2 linked regions of the Drosophila melanogaster genome follow. The protein of the gene in region 1 interacts with the protein of each later gene in a pairwise test. Each region holds a gene or a part of one and is shown on either strand. Other genes may lie near its edges.

Evidence for each region.
Region 2: the proteins of CG17562 (region 1) and CG10737 interact in a two-hybrid assay, tested with the Drosophila melanogaster proteins (one large-scale study listed by BioGRID).

Annotation. Positions count from the first base shown.
Region 1 is NT_033777.3:16,613,201-16,617,762, forward strand, and holds CG17562 (uncharacterized protein), read left to right. Parts: upstream 1-2,108; 5' UTR 2,109-2,208; coding exon 2,209-2,397; intron 2,398-2,453; coding exon 2,454-2,964; intron 2,965-3,021; coding exon 3,022-3,733; intron 3,734-3,792; coding exon 3,793-3,880; 3' UTR 3,881-3,954; downstream 3,955-4,562. Other genes in the region: CG12783 (uncharacterized protein), read right to left, coding at 1-50, 109-142; CG10340 (uncharacterized protein), read right to left, coding at 256-847, 904-1,148.
Region 2 is NT_033778.4:19,162,174-19,167,251, reverse strand, and holds the start of CG10737 (uncharacterized protein), read right to left. Parts: upstream 3,110-5,078; 5' UTR 3,077-3,109; intron 2,089-3,076; exon of another isoform or gene 1,193-2,088; intron 1-1,192.

The sequences.
Region 1 (4,562 bases):
CTGCAGGAGACCGAGTGTCACAGTGGCAAAGAGATGGACCCTTCCGAAACCTGTGGGCGTGAGCTATGCTTGTGCATGCAAAGCGTTTCTTGACTTTTGAATATTTACCAATATCTTCCATCACCGAATCAAAGTGCTCCATCTTGTGTGCATTGGCTATTAATTAGGACTTAAAATTTGCAAAACGAATACTGTTTCGTGTTTAATATATCCTTGTCGTGTTTGTTCTATTTATTTTGATTAAAATCGCAGGGCCTAGACCAGCTGTATGTTCTCAACTTCCTTAATTAGATCCATGTGCTTGAACTCGTCCGGCTTACGGGTAAAAGTGTTCAGCAAGCGCAGCTTGCCCTCGTCGGGCTTCAGGTAGAACATCTGCAACTCATTGGCCAGACACTGAGCCTCCTGGGCTGTGAGTACCTTAGTGTCGTATTCACCGCGCATGAGAACTACACCCTTGTCTTGGACCTCGGTATAGTGAACCACTGTGAGACACTCCGGAGCGTTCTCATGGTGCACCTGGTACGCCAAAAGCGGAGTGAAGTGCACGGTGTTGGCTGCGAACTGGAGCATGACAAACTCGAATCCCTCACTGCGGGGCAGTGGCAGCAGAAAGACGGGGTGCTCCTTGGCGCGCGCCATGAGGTTCTCGTACTGAGATGTGCTTAGAGTGGCGGCCAGGACCTCCTTGGTCTTATGGTACTCCAGCCAAATCTGGGAGACCTCTTCGGCGGTCTTGTCCTCAATCAGTTCCAGTTTCATGATATCAGTGAGCTTCTTGTGGGGCAGTTCAGCTGCCTGCTCAGCCTGCAGTTTTTGCTTGGGATTCAGAAGCTCGGAGTAGGACCTGGAATTGGCAAGGGATCAGCTATGGATTGTCTTCTGCCCGAATACTGAGCTTACCTGGCCTGGCTCTGCCCATCTTTGATGGGATTCACCACACGCTCCACGCGATCCAGGAACTCCTCAGCCGACGTCTGCTGCAACTTGGCAATCTTGCTCGCGTACTTGGAGTAGTAGGGATTGTCCTCCTTCAGCTTCTCAATGGCCTCCTCGGCACGTCGCGCGGCGGACATGGTGATTGTGCGGTTCGCCGTCAAAGAGTTATTCAGGAAAACGCGAAAAAGCAATTTCTTGGCGCATGCCATTTCCTCACCTCACATCAAAAATTATACAACTAGACAGCTGATTCTGATTGTCAATAAGAAAATCGATACTATATATATCGATAGTTGGCTCTAGCGATGGGCTATGGGCGCGGGTAAGACTTTTTCTACATCACATGCGCGATGCTCAAAATAATTATTATCTTTTTATTTATTTATTTTATTTTTGTGACACAAAATGTTAAGCTGCAGACCGTATTTCGTCTAGGCTGCCATGACGTTTTAAAACAAATCCAGTTAGCTGCTTATTTCAAAAGTAGGCAATTGCAAACATACATTTTTTACAGTCATTACTACTTTGGCGGAAAAACATAGGAAGTTGATAAATTTGAAATCTTCACAGTTTCAACACAAAGGTAGAGCGTTACATATTTATGTCGACATGTTCGCAAAAATAAGTATTTAAATTACACATTAATATTTTTTAATAAATGTAAATAACCGGTTATCTAATCATGAACTAATCTAAAACCTTCTGGGTATCATTTATTATTTATTTTTCAAAATATTCGTAATTTAATCTTTATATTTAGTTGTTTTCATCACTAAATTAAATGTTTCAATAGGGAACGACACTGACAGCCAATAAATTCTACAAACAAGAAATGGTTCGTATTTCATAATCTTACTTGAAATCCGTACTTAGACCTCCTTTGTAGCGCATTTGGTTAGCAAATAGGCTATACTCGATTAAAAGAATATGGAAATGAACATATAGGGAAATAAGACAGGGGTGCAGTAATAAAGTAAACTGAAGAGTTTATTTAAATAGCAAACAACTTTCACTACTTTTAGGAGCCATTACCCTGGCATACAATAAAATTGGAAACCAGATGCGTAAGTAAGTTCTATAATATTATTCGTGATTACCAGCCCTGGGTCTTCAGTTCACCGCACGGTCGAAAATTTTGTATAAATATCCGCAGTGAAATCAAGGTGATTTTCATTAAAGCCGTTCTTTGTTAAAAACGACTGCAACTTTTGCTTCTATCGGATAGACTTTTTTTCGCCGCCAATTCAAGCGTAAACCATACTTCTAAAAATGGATACGGATATTCAAAGATGCTTCCGGAGCAAAACGGTGTTCCTAACTGGAGCCACCGGCTTTTTGGGTAAAGTCGTTATTGAGAAACTTTTGCGGACCACAGAGGTGAAACGCATCTATGTGCTAATTAGACCAAAGCGCGGAGTTGAGATTAAGGATCGGATTATCACCTGGTCAAAAGATGCGGTAAGTAAGGCGATAGGAAATTTAAAAGAAATACTCACTCGAAAGGTGTGGAAAAGGTATTTGAACTGCTGCTGAAGTCCAAGCCGGAGGCACTTCAAAGAGTATGTCCCATCGCTGGGGATTGCCTCGACTTTGATTTGGGAATCAGCGAGAATGATCGAAGACTTCTGGCCTCCGAGGTGCAGATTGTCATCCATGGAGCTGCCACCGTGCGATTCAATGAGCCGCTTCACGTGGCCCTGGCCATCAACACAAGGGCCACCAAGCTGATGATTCAACTGGCCAAGGAAATGAGGCAGCTGGAGGCCTTCGTTCATGTATCGACCGCCTTCTCCAACTGCGTTATCTACAACATCAAGGAAAATTTCTACCCCGAGCATCTCAACTGCAGTTCCGATAAGGTGCTTGCAATGGCAGAGCTGATGAGTGACGAGCTACTGGACAACATGGAGCAAGCGCTCCTTGGCTCGTTTCCCAACACGTACACGTACACCAAAGCACTGGCGGAGGATGTGATCCTGAAGGAAGCGGGTGGCTTGCCACTTTGCATCTTCCGACCGGCAGTCAGTAAGTAATCCTTATTACGTACTCTGTCTACATCTTGTCATTTCTACCCTTACCCAGTTATTGCGGCCCACAAGGAACCCATCTCCGGCTGGATAGACAACATGTACGGACCAATGGCAATTCTTTTCGGGGTGGCCCGTGGAGTACTGCGCATTGCCACCATCGATCACCATGCCGAGGCAAGCCTGGTGCCCGTGGATTATTGTGCCAATTTGACTCTGGCCTGTACCTGGAAGACCATTGTGGAAGGTAACGAGATGGGAACACAAGAAACTCCTCTCATCTACCAACTGGCGCCCATTGAGCAGAACAAGATCACCCACGGGGAGTTCATTCGACATGCTCTCGATGGACGCACCAACTGCCCGCTGACAAAGATGATATGGTATCCCTTCATCCACTGCATCACAGTGCCGTGGCTCTTCCCCCTGGCAGCTTTCTTCTATCACACCCTGCCAGCCTACTTTTTTGACCTGGCTCTCTGGCTGAGTGGCCGGAAGCCCAGACTAGTAAAGGTTTACCAAAAGATCCACAAGACTCTCGGCATCCTGGGCCCATTCGCCTGCAAAAGCTGGCGCTTTGACATGCGGAATACGGATCACTTGAGGCAGCAGATGTCGGAGGAGGATCGAAGGATATACTACTTTGATATGGTCAGCCTCAACTGGAAGGAATACTTCGTTCAAGCTCTGCGTGGCATGAGACAGTTCTTGGGAAACGAGGCACCCACCCCAGAGTCCATTGCACAGGGCAAGAAGCTCATTAAGCGGTAGTTTCCATTGTCTTTTCTGTTTCTTACAAAGTGTATTACATCTAATTGTATTTTAGTTTAAAGCTGCTCCATCATATCCTGCAAGGTGTCCTTTGCTTTGTGGCACTACTAGCACTGTGGTCGTTGGTAAGGATCCTAGTCTGATTCAGCAGTACATAGGCAACCCACCGACTCACTTTCGTAATTGCGTCATGGAATTAAATAAATATATACAACACATAGACATGTCTTTTATTTAATTACTTGAATGGTGGTAGCTATAAGGTTTTTTCCTCACGAGCCGATCTAAATAGGTGCACTGAGTGACACAATCGATTGCATAAAGTATACGCAACTGGTTACATCAAGAAGTGATATATATACAATAGTATGCACCTATTATAATGTAATAATTTTTTAATTGAAATCGCTCTCTGGTATTCTATTGATCAAACCTTATTGAAATAAATAGGCCATAAATTGGTATATAAAATGTTATGATATAACATATATATGTGTGGTTCCTATACAGAATACAAGGTCTAGCACATATACGGTGTAGTCACGAGGATACTTATATGCGATTACGTAACGACTGATCGGGGACTTCTTACACGTGCCCATACAAAATTTATATACGCGGAAATACAAAGTCATCGCATGCAATTTATCATTTACCATTCTTGTTTACCATTCACACATATACTAATTTGAATTTCACGCAAGAGATGGCAGCTCTATACTAAGTCTCGAATCAACTTTAAAATTTTAAATTAAATGCACCAAGGTTATTTTCATTCGTAAGCAAAAATATAATTAATAAATGCAACTAGGCCTTTAATCGAAG
Region 2 (5,078 bases), on another chromosome or scaffold:
TCGAAACCTTTCGACTTTGGCCTATTCAAAAACTCGTTTATCGATTCAAACTGGTCCCGCGAACCCATCGATTTGCGCTCTGTGAATATGAGTTCTATGCAGTCGAAGGCGTTACGCATCTTACTCGAGGAAAGTTTCTGCCCCCGGCTTATTGATTTTTCCACGGGTTTCCATTTCTTATCTGAATGATTGGCCTGCAAATATAGTCGGTGGTCAGTTTACTCGCCACCCGCCTTCGGCTGGCCAAAAGGTATTTGAACTGCGGGGCCAATTGTTTTGACCACGTTTGGTCAACCATTTGAGGACTAGGGTTGCCAGGGCAACCACTAAATAATTAAGGGTCCGCGCATTGATTTGTCAACGTGACCGAGGGCCAAACAAAAATCGGAGTTGAATCGTAAAAAGTGCTCACACTTCTCGGTTTATTTGTTTGTTAACCCAAAAACATCATTTTCCCTTTTCCTGGAAGTTGCTTTTCCGAGGAAAAGCTTTGACCGGCAAAGGATGCGCCATGCGAAAGAGAAAATAATGGAGAGCGGAGAGTAAAAAGAACGCTGAGAGGGGTTGGAAAATGCAGGCAGTTACACGAGCAAAAAAATTATATTAAATTTAAGTTTTGTTTTTAGTTTGTGGCAGGCGAAAAATGAACTTTAAACTGGTATAGAAAAAGTTTAAGTATTAATAAAATAAAATTGATTTGTAATGGGGCTCTTAACTACTACTTAGTGCAAAAACATACTACCGAATTAAATATAAATCGAATTAAATTTGAATTGTTTTACATTTTCTCTATAATACCTTCAAATGTTGCCCTATTTATTTATTTATTTCATATTTAATAATAAATGAGATGCTTTAAGTTATTTTTTTCTGTGCACAGTTTTTCCTGCCTAGTTTTCCTGGCTTTCAACAGCGCCAACAGCCAGTGACACAGTTTCCACATTTTGGGGTGGCTTCCAGGGGTGTAGAGAGATACGGAACCAGAAACGAGGGTTGCAGATGGACGAGGCACGCAATTTGGGCCTCTATCGCACGGAGGATCGCCGCAACGTCTTCATAGAGAGCCATTAGGAACACACCCAAAATAAAAGCCAAGCCCAAAATTGAGCAAACCCTGAGCTCGGTTGAAGGATGTGCGGAAAAATGTGGCGTTTTCTTTTTGGAGGAAGAAAAAAGGGTTTGCTTCACTTACCGTATCACAAAGAACGCAATTTGTAGATGTAATTATAGTTGTTGAATCCGCAGGATAAAGTGTGTTGCAATTTGTGTTGTTCGTGGAAGTAAAAATGGATGGCATTATTTGGGGAGAAATCACAACCGTAACCGTAACCACATATGTAATGGCTTTTTAGCCCTGATTCTGCGACTTGTCGGCCGAAATGTACTTGGTTTTCAGGTGTTAGAAAACATATTTATAAAATGCAAATACCCAGTGATTGATTAGTGACAAAAAGCTTAGACCCTGCTCAATTTGTGGGTATTCATGTGCATGTATTTCAGTATGGTTTGCACGTGAGTTAGGTGGCCAAATATATAAAAGTTTCATTAAATTCCAGAGCCAGTTATTTAGGGCCAGCAATTTCTCTGTGCGAAATGCAAATCGATAAAGGAGAGGGAGTGTGGTGGTTGGTTTTCAAAAGGGGGTGGTGGTGGCGGGCGGAAAAGCTTGGCACACATAGTAAACAAATGGTGTTTTCACTGAATTTTTATATGCTCTACTCACACGGTTGACCGAATTTTAAAGGCCACGTTAGCAAATAATATTCCTACGAATTTCGATTTAGTGCAAACAACAAAAAGTTCTACCAAAACACTGCCGATTATTCTTGTCTCAAAAATAATGCCGTTTCGTATTTTATTACTTAATATTTTTCAAATTATTTAACTATTTCGCTGCAGCGAGATAGAAGATAGTCGTGCTCTTCTCGCGTTGATGATGAAATTCTTTCGTTTGTTATTGTTCTTTTTTTTTGTTGTGTTTTTGTCACTTTGTTCGTTGCGAAGATGGCGATAAAGGAGAAGCGAAGAGGGGAGGCGAGGCAAATCGAGTAGACGTGTGAAGAATTTTACAAACTTCCGTAAAATTAACTAAAATTGAAAGACACAATTGATATCTTTTGTTCAATAAAGTCGTCATTTCAGCAATAACAATATTTTCGATTTATGCTAAAAAGTGTAAATCTAAGTTTTGACGCTTGAAATTGGCATTTTGCTATATAAAATTTAGTAAAGCATTAAAAATTCCACAATATTTAAATTCAAATCGAATGAAGCCACTCAAGTTACAGATAATCAAAAACAGAATAGTGGAAGCCACTCAAGTTTAAATAAAATACAATCGAGTTATTCAAGTTCGCCTGTGTTGTATTCAAACTTAAGTTCAATGTCGTCGGTTGCTTCCGCTTGCTCATAAAAGTTTCTTTTGCGATTGTTTCTCTGTTATATTTGAATGTCTTCGATAAGAAATCATAACATTCAAATTATGTAGATTGTCCGTTGGCCTTTGTGTGCTTTACACTGCACTACCCGGTTTTAGTTTTAACTACTTTACACTGACACGTTACTACTGGGCCACACAGTCGCTTTAGTGGTTTTCTATTTAAACTTGGCCAACATTTAAATTTCCCCAGCCACAATAACAACAACAACAATTAGAACCACTGAAGAGAAAGAGAGAGAGCGAGACAATCAGCTGTTTGCAGCATCAATGAAGAACGCTGCTTTTCGGCAGTCTTTAATTTCGATTTAAGTTCGGCATTATAATAAATTGTTTTTGTGTAGAACAAGCAACACATAGCCACACACGCACACACAGAAACACGCGCGCACAGTTTATATGTTAAATTGTATATTTCTGCAATGCTTTTTAAATATTTTGCTGCGGTACAACAAATATTTTTGCGGTTTGTTGCCAAATTTCCCATATACAACGTACACACGCTTATCGAATAAGCTTTCGTTTTATCATTTTGTTTCTTTATTTTATGTTCTTTTTTTTCTGTTGAGCACTAGGAACAATAAGAAATCTTTGCCGCCGCTATTTTATTTTTCATCCGCGAACGAAACGAACACCAACCTTACTCGTTGAATGTCAAAGAGAGAATAACATTCGCTCATAACATTAATGTTAAAAGAGTAGAAGAAAAATTATCGATATTTGTCGTCTTGGTATCGATAGCCATGTTTAGGCACTTGTTGCTCCCTGCAAATGTTGCGCAACATGGTTTCTAAAAAATATATTTTTTATTGATCTTAGTTTTTAAGTTCATTGTAAATTTGGAAGAAACAATTGTATCCATGTTTATAAGTTTCAACATTGAAAAATCGATAAAGCAACACATAGATTTTGTGGCAACTCCATATACTATGATTCGAATCCAAACCGCAGAATCCTTTAAACTCAAAACATTTTTAGCGGGAAAGCAGCTCGTTTTAAACTGCAAAATTCAAACATAAATAATATAATAATTTTAAATCTGAAAAATAGCAGCCTAATAGTCCAAGACCTTTACTGCCATAAATGTAGAAAATTGAAACAAATGTTGGTTTTTTTTTTACATACAAACGTTGCTGTTTATTTCACTTTACGTTCTTTTGTTGAATATGCATATAATGTTTTTGCGCTTCTACTTCGTTTCCCGATCGCCGCCGCTTCTATAACTTACGCCCCTTAACGATCTAAGTGAATCCGTTGCTGATTTTTAATATATATTTTGATCTCGAGTCAATGCTGGCTGCTACATCGTTTCCTCATCTCTTGTATGTATATTGAATATTCTGGTTGTATATAAGTGTATAATATATTTAATTTAATACATAAAAAGGTTGCGCCCACTGCAAGGCGCATCGATTTTCATTTGCTTCGTTTAAAATAGTTTACGTGTGTTTAATATTAAATTGTTTCCATTGTTTTCGCAATGCAAAGATCATATATAAAAATACAAAAATCATAACATTTACATACACACCGGACCGGACCGTGTGTGTGGCCGTCATATAACTAGGTATTTCATATACTCTATATAATCATATATATCATATATCGACGCAACCTCGCACAGTCAATATAAATTATTGTTAAATTACAAAAAATTAAAATGTATATATGTATTCGAATTATACACAACTACCACTCTCTATCGCTTTCACTTTTCAGTATAAATAAATTTTTGTCCACTTAATAAACAATTTCACTTCTTTATGCTTAAGAACTAAACTCTTCTTATCCTTTATCCTTCCTCTGCTCCCGCCTCGTGTCCTTCCTTTCGTCCTTCCGCTTTCCCACTATCTGATCCACCTTTTTTTCCGATTTGCTTGGCCTGCTATCTTTCAATAATTTCGCTATTTAGTCTTAGTCGTATATGGAAGTTGAATTGGTACGCATATGTTCAGGAGCGGCATTTTGCGCCGAGTCTGGGGGGAGTGTACATTATTTATGGGCGTTCCTTTATATATTTATAAGTATTATTAATATGTATAATACGCAGCAGTCGATTGTTAATTTAGCTTTCTAATTTCGCTGTATAGATCGTATAGATCGCTGGATCGCAGTAATTATTCGTGTGACACTAATGCTAAGTTGCTCGAGCTAACTCTGAGTCCTGAACACCACGCTCAATTCCGCTTTGAACTGTTTTTTTTTTTTGTTTGTTTGTTTATGTTTCTGATTTGCTGAAGACTTGCTGGTTCTTAAATTGAGTCGTATGAGATCGTGTGCTTAGGAAAATGTTGTGGTTTTGTTGTAGGAAATGCGTGGAGTTTTTCCATTTTTTCAGGAGCTTTGATGGATGACGTTTGTGGAATTGTTTTCATTTCGTTTTTGAGTCGTAATACTAGTTCCCTTTAGGTTAGTTTAATGAGTAGTCCATATATATTAAACCACATATATATATATATATATATATGCATGTTTTTGTGGCTGTGTATAGAGAGATACGTTCTATGTATAATTACAAACGTTGTTCATTTTGATTTTGTTGTTTTTTGGTACGAAACAATAGATAAATCCCGGCGAGCATAACAAACTAAAAGGTAGAGGTGGGGTAGTATGGAGAACAAACGAAAAAAGGGGGGGATGA